Rattus norvegicus: one gene and its partners. The protein of the gene in region 4 purifies or fractionates together with the protein of the main gene of each other region. This does not show direct contact. Links are inferred from orthologs where the notes say so. Each region holds a gene or a part of one and is shown on either strand. Other genes may lie near its edges.

What was found.
Region 1: the proteins of Rptor (region 4) and Sqstm1 purify together in Homo sapiens (affinity purification with western blotting; 3 studies listed by BioGRID). This does not show direct contact. The link is inferred for Rattus norvegicus from reciprocal best matches to the Homo sapiens genes RPTOR and SQSTM1.
Region 2: the proteins of Rptor (region 4) and Cct2 purify together in Homo sapiens (affinity purification with mass spectrometry; 3 studies listed by BioGRID and IntAct, with this or other methods). This does not show direct contact. The link is inferred for Rattus norvegicus from reciprocal best matches to the Homo sapiens genes RPTOR and CCT2.
Region 3: the proteins of Rptor (region 4) and Mlst8 purify together in Homo sapiens (affinity purification with western blotting; 15 studies listed by BioGRID and IntAct, with this or other methods). This does not show direct contact. The link is inferred for Rattus norvegicus from reciprocal best matches to the Homo sapiens genes RPTOR and MLST8.

What each region holds. Positions count from the first base shown.
Region 1 is NC_086028.1:35,034,920-35,039,187, forward strand, and holds the start of Sqstm1 (sequestosome-1), read right to left. Parts: upstream 2,832-4,268; 5' UTR 2,798-2,831; coding exon 2,599-2,797; intron 641-2,598; coding exon 545-640; intron 304-544; coding exon 77-303; intron 1-76. UniProt on the Homo sapiens protein: Molecular adapter required for selective macroautophagy (aggrephagy) by acting as a bridge between polyubiquitinated proteins and autophagosomes.
Region 2 is NC_086025.1:54,578,100-54,581,406, forward strand, and holds the end of Cct2 (T-complex protein 1 subunit beta), read right to left. Parts: coding exon 3,292-3,307; intron 2,550-3,291; coding exon 2,408-2,549; intron 835-2,407; coding exon 804-834; 3' UTR 563-803; downstream 1-562. UniProt on the Homo sapiens protein: Component of the chaperonin-containing T-complex (TRiC), a molecular chaperone complex that assists the folding of actin, tubulin and other proteins upon ATP hydrolysis.
Region 3 is NC_086028.1:14,002,395-14,005,709, reverse strand, and holds the end of Mlst8 (target of rapamycin complex subunit LST8), read left to right. Parts: coding exon 1-34; intron 35-146; coding exon 147-310; intron 311-405; coding exon 406-524; 3' UTR 525-1,014; coding exon of another isoform or gene 1,015-1,109; 3' UTR 1,110-1,205; coding exon of another isoform or gene 1,206-1,359; 3' UTR 1,360-1,608; coding exon of another isoform or gene 1,609-1,710; 3' UTR 1,711-1,782; coding exon of another isoform or gene 1,783-1,938; 3' UTR 1,939-2,062; coding exon of another isoform or gene 2,063-2,131; 3' UTR 2,132-2,783; downstream 2,784-3,315. Other genes in the region: Bricd5 (BRICHOS domain-containing protein 5), read right to left, coding at 1,015-1,109, 1,206-1,359, 1,609-1,710, 1,783-1,938, 2,063-2,131.
Region 4 is NC_086028.1:105,375,425-105,379,753, reverse strand, and holds the start of Rptor (regulatory-associated protein of mTOR), read right to left. Parts: upstream 2,812-4,329; 5' UTR 1,899-2,811; coding exon 1,737-1,898; intron 1-1,736. UniProt on the Homo sapiens protein: Component of the mechanistic target of rapamycin complex 1 (mTORC1), an evolutionarily conserved central nutrient sensor that stimulates anabolic reactions and macromolecule biosynthesis to promote cellular biomass generation and growth.

The DNA of each region.
Region 1 (4,268 bases), about 70 Mb from region 4:
GGCAGTGAGGGGTCAGGGTTTCCAGCTCCCACCACCCTGTCCGACACCGCCCCAGGACTGCAGAGAACCAGCTCACATCAGAGAGGTGGCCAAAGGGGTTGGGAAAGATGAGCTTGCTGTGCTCCCTGTGCAGGCCCTTCCCCTCGCAGACGCTGCACAGGTCGTAGTCGGGGCACACACTGCACTTATAGCGAGTTCCCACCACAGGCCCATTGCAACCATCACAAATCACGTTGGGGTGCACCATGCTTCGTGCCTCCTGAGCACATGGGGGGCGATGTTCCCGCCGGCACTCCTTCTTCTCTGCAGGGAGAGTCCAAGAGTCCAATTTAGTTGCAGGTAAACCACTTAGGAGGCCAAGAGGTACCAAGCCCTGCTCTGTTCAACACCCATGGCCCACACAGCAGGACCTTTGTACCTCTGACACCTCCCAACCCCCCTATATCCACCCCAAGGCATCAGAACTCATCTCTGTCCTAGAGACAACTCAGACCCCTGAGCCTTAGAGGAAGTCCGATGGGAAGTACCTGGATGCAGTCTTTACCTTTAATGTAGATGCGGAAGATGTCATCTTTCACATAGGACATGGCCATTGTCAGTTCCTCATCACTGGAGAAGGCGACCAAGTCCCCATCCTCATCTAGATTGTTTAGGAAACAACATATCAGAGCCAGGGACACAGCTCATTGGTGGAGCGTGCAGAAGACTTAGGTGCCATTCCCAGAACTAGAAGCCGAAAGGGCAGCACAGGTACCCAGCATCTGCTGGATGCCCACTGCTATGTACAGGGAGCCCAATGGTAAGGGACATCTACAGAGGCTCTAGACGCAATCTGAGTGCTGGAGCAAGCAGCCAGATGGCCACTCATTCTGATATGGCGTGAGTACATGTTCTAACCCAAGTCCTAGATCCGGTACATGCACAAGGCAGAGCATATGTCATGTGTGTAAGGGTCCAGCTTCCTGCCACAAACCACTGGGCCATTTGTGCCCTCAGGCCACACGTAAGTAGGCCAGGTCCATTTTCACCTGGGAGATTCCAGCCAGTACCCTGTCCTGATGGTCCAGCCCTTCAAAGGCCTCAGGCTTCAGAAGGAAAGGAGGTAAGCCCATCTGTCCCCTCCCTTCAACTACGTGACCAGAAACCACTGTGCATTCAGACGCTGTCTAAGTTGTTCTGAGGTTGAGGTTGCTCTGTTGGTTTTGTTTTTGTCAATTCTAGGTTTTCTGCGCCCTGCCTGGCCTGAGACTGCTTAGAACAGGACAGCCTCCAACTTGTGTAGGTGAGCCTCCTTAGTGCTGGGATCACAAACATATGCAACCAAGCTGCCAAGTGGTTTGGGTTTTTTTGGGTTTTTTTTCTTTTTTGCCTTTTGATATTTACTTTTACATATGTATGTACGCACTTGAACACACAGACACACACACACACATACACACATGCACACTTATGTGTATGCATGTGCCACGAAGGCCATAAGAGGGTGTGGGATCCCCAGGAGCTGCAGTTGATATGAGCGCTAGGAACAGAACTTGGGTCCTCTGGAAGAGCAGCAAAGGCTTTAACCACTGAGTCATTTCTCAAACCCATCTGCTTTCATTTTTACATTAGCACACAGGTACTGGGAGCGCAGCCATATATTTCTATGTCAGTACAAACAGTCTTCAACCACCTCATACAGGACAAACCACACATCTGCAGGCTAGGATATATATATATATATACATATATGTGTGTGTGTGTGTGTGTGTGTGTGTGTGTATCAGGCTAGGCTATACACACACACACGTAAAATTTATAAAAAAAAAAAAGATTCTAAACCGAATGTGATAATAGTTATATAACTCACTTTTTAAAAAATGCAAGGAGTTTGGGGGGCGGGGTGGTAGCTCAGTCAGTCGAGAGCCTAACATACATGAGGCCCTAGCACAAAGATGACTCGGAAGGACATTAAGACCTGGGTGAATTGTACTGGACCTAGGTTAAAACTCACTTACACTGAACATTTTTTGTCCAGAATAATCCCTATGATTCCTGCACTGGAAAGCTGAGACAAGAGGATTGAAGTGAGGCCAGCCTAAACCACTCGTAAATTCAAGGCGAATCAGGCTACGTGGCTTTATCTCAGAAAAGAGACAGACTGATCAACCAACCTGGCCTACCCACAGTCCTCCATAAAGAGATCTCAATCTTATCCCCTCCCAGGGGGAGGGCCTTGTCCACTAGTCTCTTGTCAACAACTTCTAGCTCCACCCCATGCAGCCATCAACCACTGCAACGCAAGAGACGGAGCTAGTTCCGGGGTCCCCTACCTCCCTTCCCACGGGCTGCCCCACCCCGCCCCCGCCGCTTATTTACCCGCGTCACTGCTCTCCACCCCTCCTCCACATCTGCCCGGTCCCAGCTCTTCCGGGCCTTTAACTGAACCCATCACCTGATGATACGAGGAGCAAGCGAACCGCGGGATGTCAGCTGTAACCTGAGCGGCCGCCTGACCACCCTGTCCCCGCGGGCAGCCAGAGGACACGCCATCGCGTCCTCGCCCAGACCTGATACTCCGCGGCGGGGGAGGATGGCTTCCCCGCCCCGAGCCCTTACCGCGGTAGTGCGCCTGAAAGCCTCCAGGCCGCAGCGCGGGGAACAGCACAGCCACCCGGCTCAGCAGCCTCTCGCAGGGCCCCGGGCCAGCCGCGGCTTCCGCCTCCGGCTCCGGGCTGAAGCAGAAGCTGAAGCGGCGGATCTCGCGGGCCGCCTCCTCCTTGCCCAGTAGATAGGCCTTCACCGTGAGCGAAGCCATAACCGCAGACTAGGTACGGAGGAAACAGCTGGGCAGCGGCGGCTCCGAGAGCCCAGCTTTTATAGGATACGGGGGGAGCCCCGCCTCGTGGGGGGCGGAACCTCTCTGAGCTCCGCCCCTCCCCGCTGTCCGGGCGGCCGCTCGAGGGCCCTTGATAGGACCCCTGACAGGTATGGGGGCGAGACGCCCCCACCGCCTCCTCTTTTTCTTTCCCTCCGAATGCATGGGTGACCCCAAGAGACCAGCCTCAGTCTCAGTTCGATGGGAAAAGGGCCGGTAAGTATCCGAGCCTAGGCTCCTCCCAGGTTTGGGCCTGCTTATGACTCAGCAGTGTAGTCCCCAAGCCAAGGGGGATGGATGCCCCAGCACAGAGGCTCAGACGACACAGATGCCTACTGTCAGGTAGCCATTCCTTGGCCAAACAAGCTGTTTCACGGGATACTGTTCCAACCCTCCCAAACTTAGTGTCCCCCGTAGTAGCCCTCCACCCTACTCTCTCTTCAGGCATCCACCATGACCAGCCCCTCACTGAATAAAGGGACATCATCCATATGTTAGGCCTGATCCAATTTGACAAAGACTGGATGTTGGACTAGCACTGGTGACTTCTCACAAACCCACCCTGTAGGAGGGGTAGCCAGGGCTCCAGAAACTGCAATAGTCACCACTACTAAGACTGAGATTCCTCACAACAACCCACATAATACACACACACACACACACACACACACACACACACACACCACAGCACACAGGCTCTAAGGGCGGAGGGGAAGGAGCATGTATCTCAGGCCTTAGTGGCTTCAAAGAGCACAAAGGAATCAGACCACTTGCCCTCCAACTAGGAACTAAAATACAGGCTTTAGCCAGTCCTGTGACACAGACTTGTTATCCCAGCTGTTTGAGATGCTGAGGCAAGAGAATACCAAGTTCAGGGTCTGCCTGAGCAGCTTGGTGAAGCTGTTTCAAACTAGAAAGTGATCTGAGTACTTGGGAGGCCAGAGGTTCCGGAGTTCAAAGCCAGCCTTGGCTACAAGAAGCCTCTCAAAAAAAGGGGGGGGGGGGGCAAAATAAAGAGGCTGTCTATGCAGTTTAGTTAGGATACAACTCATGGGGATTTAGCTTAGCATGGATATACTCAGGGAGATTTAGCTTAGTAGGGATACAGGTCATGGGAATTTAGCTTAGCATGGATATACCCAGGGGGATTTTAGCTTAGTAGGGACACAGTTCATGAGGATTTAGCTTAGCATGGATATACCCAGGGGGACACCACTAATGGGGATTTGGTGCATAAGGATTTGGTGCTCAGTGACAGAGTACCTGCCTGGTATATGTCACATCTTAGGTTCAACCCTCAGCACGAAGGCCAAAACCAGGAAATGCTGCTTTCTGTGGCAAAAGTGACCTGTTAGCTAGCATGATGACACACATCTGTAATCCCAGCACTTGGGAAGCTGAGTCAGGAGGA
Region 2 (3,307 bases), on a different chromosome or scaffold from region 4:
ACTGAATGGCTCTTAGCCCTGTTACCAACTTTCACAGCCCCCCTTTCCCTGAGGGCACCCTGATGCTCTGGCAGCCAGTAAATCTAAGCTTTTCGGCAATCTTCAATTCTGTGCACTCTGCAATATTCTGATTAACTTTCGCATCTATGTCAAGTGTAAATTAAGCCCAATACATTTCAGTTCTCTACCTAACAAAACAGTCATACTATCATCTAAACAAACGCACTATCTTAGGAAGAAGTTATCTTCTTAAGGCACCAGAGAGAGGTGGACAGTTAAATGTCACTTTTCCAAACTTGAACAGTGTTGTCTAACGTAAATAAGAAAGGGCACTTATATTAAACTAAATCAGAACTGTACCTTATGGTACTTCTACTCTAAATTAATGTTCAGTAAAAGCTATGCATGACTGAGTGTGTGTGTATGCATAATCAATTACTTTATAAAAGGATAAAGTCAGGAATTGATTAGGCTGAAACAACTCTTCACCGAGGAATGATTGCTTCCATAAGTAGATTTCAAATAGGATATGATATATACAGATCACTAAGACATTAAGGACTAAGTAACTGATTTTTTATTTTAATACACAGTATGAGAAATGAACCTGTAAATCAACTGAACTGTATGGAAAATGAAATAGCAAATAAATTAGACCCATGTTTAACACAGAAGGTCAGCTAAATGTTCAAACTTAAGGCTGTCATGGACACAGCAATTCCATAGTCTTCTTTAAAGGGTGAAGTCTTTCAAATACAGCTTTGCTATGAACTGGTCCAGAGTTCAACAGCAAATGGGAATGCTTAACAGGGGTGGTGATCAGGGACACGTTTCCTATAAGAAAAAAAATCACATTAACAAAAAGTAAAAAAATGAGAAGTCTGATTTCAACTAGATTCTCAATGACTACAAATACAAGAACCTTTGTCTCACTAAAGTCACTGTGGGTCCACTTCCCATAAGGACGTAACACCACTCAATCAGTCACACTTTAAGAGGACACAGGAAAACTCATGCATCATGTAGGCCTGTACCCAACAGTTCTGTGTCTGACCCAAACAACCTACTTACTAAACAATATACCTCCCCCAAAAGGCTAACCTGGTTTTTGCTTTACTATATACCCTAAGACTAGACTTGAACTTGCAATCCTTCTGTCTCAGTTTCTAAGGAATATACTACTATACTTGGCTTACTTCATGTTTTTGAATGTCAGGATTAGGAAAGTTTACCAAATTCATCAGACAGATACATCAAATCAAAGCCAAACAACGACACAGGGGTCCTGGACGACAATCTACTCAGGAGCACAGGACTGCCCACAGATCCGCTAGAGCAGAGAACACACTGTGCCATAATCATCCCTCATGCCTAATTCTCCAGTGACCGCACGCACAGTGACGGAGACATAACGAACTGTTGCAAAGGGACGGCAGGCATATCAGTGAAATTTTAACTTTATATTTGTTTTAAAATGCTTTTAAACATTTTCGAATTATACAGTGTGAGAAAAAGTGAGAATTTTAAAAATCCACATATGTGAGATTCTGGGACAATTAGCGAGCACCCCCAGGAACTCTCCGAAGTTTCAAAGTTAAAGAATTTTAAACTTGCATCTAACAATCTTCCACTTAAGATATTTGGGCTTCCTTTAATGGCAGCTTCTCTGTTCACTTACAGAACACTTCAAAACTGCAACCTGCACTTCAATTTCCCCTTTCTGAGGGAGACTGTACTTTGAGTTTTCTTTTTTGAACCTTCTATAGGATTAAGTTTATCCCCACCACTCCACTAACACTGCATGTCAAACCAATGTTGCTAAGGCCCAGGTTCTAAGTAAACTGTCGCCACCTTCTTTTCACTTGGCATCCTGGGCACACTCTTTTCCTTTTCCTCAGTGGCAACTATTCTACCCCAAGGCAGTAGGAACTGAAACATCTAAATCTGTGAACCCAAATAAATCCTTCCGTCGTCACAATTTGACACAGCAACATGAAGCAGACGGATGCACTTAATTTAACCACTTCTGTGTGACAGCATTTTAAAGAGAACTTAGTTACTTTCTACAATATGAACCTGGAAAGGACTTGTCAATGGGTACTTGAGAATGTTTATGAGCCATGCATGTGTAGGGCACCTGCCGTCTTAGTGCTTGAAGCTCAGACACTCACAGCTCCCTGATCCTTGACTTTCATAAGCCTGGCTCTTTAGTCCTTCCAAGATGAGTGGGCCCCTGGCTACCCAAACCACTTTCTTCCTAAGCCTTTCTAATCTTAAGAACTATGACTACATATTTTAGATAGCTTATGTAACAGTCTACTAAAATAACTGTCCCGTTAAATACAACTATCAAGCTCCCTGGACTCTGTCTCAGTACACTGTCCCAGGAGTGCAAGCGCTCTAGTACCTTGGTGCCGCTTTGATGATGTTGTCCACTCGTAGAATCACCTCTGCTGCTTCCGCCGCACTCAAAAGAACCTGCCGCTTCACTTGAAAGCTCTCGGTTATACCCAGTACTGCCATATCACCAATGCTGCCTTCCTTCATATCTGAAAAGGCAGTTATTAAAGTAATAACAAAAGGCATTAAAACATCTTACCTGATGATTTGTAATAAAACTAAAGCTGTTACTGCACCTAAGTGCCTGATTTAACTAGGTCATCTATAAAAGCACTATTAAAAACCATGGCAAGAACAACTGTTAAGCCTGGCAGCAGAGCTGCAGGTCTAGAGGGCTAGGTTCATATGCTCAGAGTGGGGCTGCCTTGCTCAGAGAAGCTGCAGCAGACAGAGTCCGTGGGGAGCCTTGTGACTGGGGAAAGTACAGGAAACAAATGCCTGAGTGCTCGGCCCTCAACAGGTCTCTGAGAACACTGCAGTGTAGGGTAGAAGGAACAAAGAGTTGGAGGAGGAGGATGCTCTGGAGTGCTACCTTCTGGACCTGAGAGGCCCATTAACATTCCATCTATCATTGAGAAGAAAGGGGCTCCTACAGGCCCATCCTCACTGACAAGCTACTATGGCTGCTGGGGAAGGATGAGTCATATTCCTCAGGGTACAGCCTTGAGAAGGCACCTTTATCCAAGTAAATAACCTTCCGCCCATGTGAGCAGGAGAGGGATCTGGAAACAAAGGGTTCAGTGATGGAGAAAGGTGTTATGAGAACAAAGGGAAGGGGATATGACCAAAGTGCATCGTGTGTGTGTGTGTGTGTGTGTGTGTGTGTGTGTGTGTCAATAGAAATGCATATGTATAAAGTCCAAATATGCAGAAGTCCATTTGATTTCTTACCCAGTCCAGCAGTTAT
Region 3 (3,315 bases), about 91 Mb from region 4:
ACGCCCTGCAGTGCCGCTTCAGCCCCGACTCCACGTGCGTGTAGCGCCCCGGGGGAAGGGAACCTGTAAGCTGGGGCATGACCTGGCGCGCGCTAAGTCGATACGGGGTGGTAGTGGCCACTGAGACGCCCCATGTCCAACTCCAGGTTACTTGCGACCTGTTCGGCTGACCAGACGTGTAAAATCTGGAGGACATCCAACTTCTCCCTGATGACAGAACTCAGCATCAAGAGTAGTAACCCCGGAGAGTCATCCCGTGGCTGGATGTGGGGCTGCGCCTTCTCAGGGGATTCCCAGTATATCGTCACAGGTAAGCCCTGCCCTCCTCTCCCCCACACACTGCCAAGTCCGCCAGAGAGGCCACTCATAGCTGCTACCTCACTTCTGCCTGATCTCTCCTTGCAGCTTCTTCAGACAACCTGGCCCGGCTCTGGTGTGTAGAGACTGGAGAGATCAAGAGAGAGTATGGTGGCCATCAGAAAGCTGTCGTCTGCTTGGCCTTCAACGACAGCGTGCTGGGCTAGCCCCTGCCCCTTGAGGGCTGCACTGGGCAACCAGGACTGCCTGGTCTAGTGGCTCTAAGAGGATGTACCTGAACAATACCCTGCTCCAAGTGAGACTCAGGTCAGCCTCTGCATATCAGGCCAGTGGGACCTGACCCGACTACCCTCGGCCCCTCTTGGCCAACCTAGACTTTTTGGCTACTCTACCCTGGGACTTTCTCCGTGCCCAGATCTGTTGTCAGAAAGCTCACAAAGCCAGGCTGCATGTGCCTGGATTGGGAGTCTTCTCCCTTTAGAGAGACCAGACCTAGAGTGCTTGGAACTGTTGAGGACATCGGAGGTTGATGCCTGTATCCCAGGTATGTTACCCCCGCTTGCTTCAGAAATTACCACCATGGCCAGGCAATCTGGGTTTATTCATCCCTACCGTCAGCTGCCTTCCAAAGGTACTGGTGACCTGGCAGCTGGCTGACCTGTGGGAGCAAAGGTCGGGAGGACTTGGTAGGGGGTCTTAGTCTGGGAGGTAATAAAAGCAGACAGACACGCAGATGTTGCTCGGGAAGCAGATGTCAATGCAGAGGTAGATCAGCCGCTGTCTCTGGGGCCCTGAGGAGAAGGGAACTTCATGAATCCCAAGGGCCCCCTAACCAGTATTGTTCTGCAGGAGCCATAGGCCTCTTCACCCAGCCTACCCCAACTTACCCTCTGCCCACCGGGCCCAGTAGATAGGAGTGTCTGCACAAAGGTGTTGCACTGAAGCTCCCACTTGGGTAGGGTCCACAGCATGGCCTCCCAAAACTGCCAGCAGTTCCTGGGCATAGTGGGTGTCCTGGCCAGGTACATGTGACTCTTGGGCCTGCAGAAAGACTCTGGTGGGTCATGGTATAGTACTTCCTTGCTCCTGGCTGGGTAGGGCATTCATGCCCACCCCAGCCTGATGGCCCTTCCACCTGCCCTTGTCAACAGCCTTCGTCAGGGGAAGATAGAGCTTTCTGTTCCCCTGAAACCAGAGCCTTGGCTGGCCCAGCTGGGCTGTACAGAGGACCTTTTGTTTATGCCCTGGCCTTGGGGGTTTGTGGGTGGCAAGCCAAGTAGTACTGCTCACCCTGGAAGTGTTCAGCAGCAGCTGCAGGGTCTCCCAATCTTGGGCTTCCATCAGACGGAGGAAGCAGGCCTGGTGCTCTGCAGGGCGGTAACAGATGTAGCCCTGGAGGAGCAGATAGGTAAGTGGAGGCCACTCCTGACACCTTCATTCTCTCCCCCTCCCAAGCCCACTCACACTTTGCCCGTCGAAGAGCACAGCCCAGCTGTGGTTGCTCTGAAACGGAGTCACCATGATGGTCGCCATGTTCTGGGCCACATCCACTAGAGTGGTTTGATTGGGCCAGGGTACCCGGGAGCTCAGGAAGGTCTTTCGGAGCATCTGCAGCAATGGCTAAGGGGTATTTGGGATTCAGCCTTAACCTATGTTTCCATATCCTCTGGCTCCATGCGAGAGCTGACAGGTACTGGCCTTCCTGCCCTCTTTCCACTCTGCATACCCTGGAAGAGGTGCTTACCTTGGAAGGGCTGTATGTGAAACCAAGAAGCCCTCCAGCCACGGCCCCTGCAGTGAGCAGTGTCAGCATCAGCAGCAAGCCTGCTGCTCTCCAGCCCCTGTAGCAGGGTTTGGTCTTCACCTGAGGGCACAGTACTAGCTGTGGGGCTTCGGGCTTAGAGACTCGGGAGCCGACTTGCTCAGGGAAAGGGCTGAGGATGGTAGGTGGTGACTCCTGTCTCCTCCTATGGCATCCCTGAGTTCTTGTCTTGGGGGTGGTAGAGACTTACCTCAACAGGCTTGGACCTGAGGCTCTCAGTGAGGATGTGCCCCTGCTTCATGCTGCAGCCCCTGCTGACAATGCACTGATTGTCTGCAGCCCCTTGGAGGAGTCAGCCAGGGAAACCTCAGGATGCCTTTGATGAATCGAACTGTATCCTCCCCTCCCAACCCCACCGCTTCCTTCCCAGCCAGTATCTGATAGCCTGCCTCAGAGCCAGGACAACCCTCTCCCCCACTTGTGATTGCTGGTTACCAGGTTTGTCCCTGGACTCTTGGCCTGTGCAGAACATGGGATTTTGGAGTGTGTGTGAGCTGGCCTTGATGTTAGAATTGGCTAGGTCTTGGCCAGGGTGACTTTTGTCTGGTTGGGCAGATTTTTTTCTTGGTGTGTTACCTCTGGACTCCTGAGCTAGACACAGGAACCATCAATAAATGTGTATGAACCATCAGTATGAGGCTAATTGCTTTGTCTTTTTCTTTTTTCTGGAGCTGAGGACCGAACCCAGGGCCTCGCGCTTGCTAGGCAAGCGCTCTACCACTGAGCTAAATCCCCAACCTCGACTAATTACTTTCTTAACTTCCCTCACAAACTCCTCAGCTTCTTTCAAGACCCCATTAGCATCAGATGGGGCTGTTGGATTTTTCCATGTGCATGACTGCTTCAGCTTGTTTCACATTAAGTGTGGTTAGGCCAGTCTCTGTTCCCTGGCATGTTTTCTAATCTAGCACTCTTGTCTTGGCCCCTTATCTGTCTAGCTATGTGACATGGTGGTTCAATGTACGTATGTCCACAGTACTTTACCCAATGGCTTTACGCCATGTACTTCCTGTTTCTTTAGAACCTGTTCCTTATAGGCAGGGTGGGGCTACAGTGGCCATGTCCACTGTGAATGATTTTGGGAGTTGGAATCCCAGCCGCCTGCCTTGCTCCCACCCATATAGACAGCTGCTACTCGAAGAAATTAGAGGAAGGCAGACCTAATCATTGTGGGT
Region 4 (4,329 bases):
TTAGAGGTAGATACAGTGGTACACATCTGTAATCCTAACACTTGGGAGGTGGATGAACCAGGCCAAGGCCATTCTGACTAAACACCAAGCTGGCCTGCACTACATAAAGCCCTGTCTCCAAAGAGAGAAACATTTTAAATTAAAAGTTCAAAAGATATCCATTGATGTGATTTCAATAGTTTGAGTACAGGTTTGGATAGCAAAAGGAACCACATTCTGGGTTCAGTCCCCAGCTCCGAAAAAAAGAAAAAAAAAAAAAAAAGGAACCACATTCAAAAGGAGGAAAAAAAAATTTTAAATAAAAACTGGACAAAATAGGACTGGGGAGGGGGGAAAGGGAGAGAGTTGCTATATATAAACATTACAACCAAAAAGAAAATGTTATTTTGTTAGTACTAGACATGTCTATAAAACAGACATTATGCAGTCTCTCTCAACCATCAGTTCTATAACTTATATTGCTTCTATTCTTCTTGTTTAAGACAGGGTCTGCACTTTGTAGTCCAGGCTGGCCTTGACTTGTGATTCTCCTGCTTTAAGCTCCAGAGTGTTGGGATTACAGGACTGACTGACCTTTGCCCAACCTAAACTGCTTTTCACTGAAGGAAATTTTCATAACTTTAATCCCAGCACTCAGTAGGCAAAGGCAGGCAGATCTCTGAGTTCAAGGCCAACCTAGTCTACAGATTGAGTTTCTCGACAGCCAGGGATGTTACAGAGAAACCCTGTCTCAAACAACAACAACATCAGCAACAAAAATTGATAGCCTTGTAAAATTTACCCAAACTGAAACACTGGTCCCTGCTAGAACTACATTGAGTATTCATCAATATACACCTTTTTAAAACAACTGTCTCAAGTAAAAGCATATCAACTATAACAAATGACACATTATAACACCAACTTCCTCTTTTATACTGAAAAGTTCACACAAATGTACAAAGTCAGGAAGGAGAAAACAACTAAGCACTCAAAGGATGAGTGTGCAGACAAGAGACAGTACTCCCCTTTTGCTAGATCAGGAACTGACCGCTACATCTGGCTGTTTTCTTTGCTACAACTACTCATGACACTCCACCGGCAGGAGAACGGCCTAAAACCTGAACCCAGGTTCCAACCCATCATACCCCATGCTCCCAAATTTCCCACTGAGGAAATATCTCCAGGTTACAGCGACCAGAAGTCACATACTAGGGGAGTCAGCCTCCCACGGAAGATGTTCAAAGGACTGGGATGAAACTTGCTGCAACTTTAAAATAACTTTGCCTTAATTTGTTATTGGCTAAACATTTCAAGTAATCGTTTCCCAACATACTGTACCAGACACCTGTACTTCAACCTGGTTATTTGGAAAAAAAAAAAAACAAAAAACAAAAAAACAGCAGATACAAAAATAGACTAAGCACGACGTTAAGTGTTATTTCCAAAATTGTCTTTTCTCTAAATGCTACTAAGTGTATTAAAAGGCACATAAATATCTGTGGAACAACAGTTCCTAATTTGCTTTTTCCACCCTCTGAATTAAAACTCTTTTGAATTAACACTACCCAGTGAGTATCGACTAGCCCTACCCACTTTCAACCAAAACCAGAGTCTGGAATAACTTTTAGTTTTTAATTAACGTGCAACATGTGGCTTCAAAATACCAGCATTCTTCTAGGAGAGGCTGTTCTTGCTCAGAACTTTCTTAGTTGGAAAACTATGAACTCAAAAAGATGCCATGAGAATCTACTTACCCGATCCTTCATTCTCCAGCTCTGTGCTAAAGATTTGGAGCCTTCAATTTTCTCACAATGTCTCTTTTTCATAAACGCCAAAGGCAAGTTCCAATCTGTAAGGTCTGCCTCATCTTCCTCCCCGAGTCCCATAAGAGGCGACTGCAGCATCTCCGACTCCATCAGGGGAGGAGGGGGAGGGGGAGTCCTTGGCAGCAAGCGCTCGAGAACCTCCAGCCTTAAAAACTAGTGTGTACCAGAACTGGTAAAAGGAAATACAGGAAAGCGGGAAGTTGGGAATAGAGATGACGGCAGAGTGCACGAAGGTCCTTATTCAGGTAAAAACTCGGAGATCTTTATCTCGAACTCTGAGCGGGAAGTCGGAGAGGGCGGGGTGGGGTGGGGTGAAGAATCGGTGGGTAACCAACCCCGCAGCCCCAGGAGCTGCGCCGACACTCGCGCCCAGTCGCAAGCCACCCGCAGCCCAGGAGGTCGTCTGGAGGACTGCAAGCCGGACTGTCAGAGGCGGGAAAGACTTCAGGCCCGGGGATGACCCTGCTCTCGGCCTCCAACGCCTCAGTGGATCCCAGGGCAGGCAGGCCGTCCCGCTCGCAGTGCGGGTTCTCTGATTGCGCTGGCTCGGCTGAGGCGTCAGGGGATCGCGCTCAGGGGGCTTCGGGGCTCGTCCAGCGGCTCTCAGCCCTGCGGGTCCCGCACTCGCCTGAGGGGCTGCAACCTGAGCCAGGACCGGCCCATCGTGCCCGTCCGCAGTCGGCTCCTCAGCCCCGGGTCCGCGCGGCCTGGCCGGTGCTGGCCTTCGGCTTCGTGGCTCTCTCCTGCCCGGGAACGAGTCCTGATACACGCGCGACACGGGCCAGCGGACCACACGGGAATACTGGGCTTATTAGGTCAGGGGAGTTTTGCCCTCTGCTCTGGAGCCACAGTGAAAACTCCTCTCATCAGCACATCAAGGAGGACGCCATATTACCAAGGCCCAGCATGCACCGCTGTCTACGGTGTGTCCAATAAGCCAAACCTCTTCAAGCGTTCTCACCGCTCTACCCAGGCTAGGGCGGAGAGTTCGGCGTTCCGTCCTCCCCTCCCCCACGCCGTTACCCGGGTTACCAAGTCCTTTCTCCTTAGTTGATCTCCACTAGTAAAGTAGACGTGTTACAAAATCAATCCTGCGATTGAAACCATGTCCGTTCAGTTATTTTTTAAAAGCTTTTTGCTACTACAAACAAAGCTGCGTGCCTTGATATTAAAGGAAAAAAAAAAATCACTTTGTTTCGTCCTGATTTTAAAGGGTGCTATTTAAAAAAAACCTCAGAAAGGACTGTTGTTGATATTAGACACATAACACTATCAGGGCTTTGTTTTTAATATTCCCACTTTTAAAAAGGGAAAGATTTCATCGATTATGAATTAATTTTGTCTGATCTACCTTATTTCCTGAGTATTATACTCTTATTTTGCTACAGCTTCATGTGCAAACGACTAAGGCTGCTGCTGTCTGCCCACGGAAGCAAGCCTCCTGCCCTGCCTTACTTCTCTGTTTCAATTCAGTAAATCTCAGTTATTGACACACCCTGAGAACTGCTTTGGTGCAGTGGGGATATAAAGTAAACGTAACATGTGCCAGCCTTTCATAACCAGGGTGCTAGTGAGACACTCTTAACCTTTAGCTAGATTTCAGGCAGACGAAGGAGCCCATCTTCAGCTTTGGTGTTGGAGGCATCTCTGTTAGAGTCAGTGTTACTAATTTCAAGCTGTATTTTCTCAGCCTTAGGTTCCTGAACCATAAAGTTTGGATAATAATATTAAAGAATATTACTGAAAGGATAAAATTAGCTTGTGAAGATGCCCAGGCCACCCTAAGCTACAAAATAAGACCCTGTCTTTAAAGAAAAAAAAATCCCCTTTAAGAACAGGGTTGAAAGGTGGGCCCAGTGTTTAATCTCATTACTCTGGAGGCAGAGGCAGGAAGATCTCTTAGTTGGAGGCCAACCTGGTCTACGAAGCTAGTAGTTCCATGAGAACCAGGGCTACACAGAGAAACCCTGCCATGAAAAACAAAAACAACAAACAAACAAGATGCCAAGACATAGCAGGCCACCAATGAGAGTGAACTCTGACTGGTCCCACCACTCTAAAGTAGTCTACCAACTGTATGCCTTACCACTAAAGCCTGGATTAGCCTTCCAAAGATGTGTTCCTCAGAGTAGATAGAGAGTTGGACATAAAGTGGCAGTCCCTACCACAATCCTAGTAGCATCTGAGCTGCTTTCAGCCGGAGAGTTCAGGCTGCATCTCTCTCACCAGTATGTGGGAAGTGTTTCCTGTAGCTCTCTGTTCAGTTATCATCCCAAGAATTCCTGTGGTTACAGTATCACACAGAGCCCATTATCCTCCTAGTCTCGGAGCAGTGCTCCAAAATAGTGTCCCCATCACCACCAGCCCCTCCCCATCACCACCAGCAGGGGCTTCAGGACTTCCGGGATGTCTAGAAGAAATCCCAGCATCTCCTGCTTCCACCTTGTCCCTCTACTTTATTTTGTAGTTCTGATGCCCACAGGTGCCGTCCCCACATGATAATTCCTCCAACCTTAGTCTT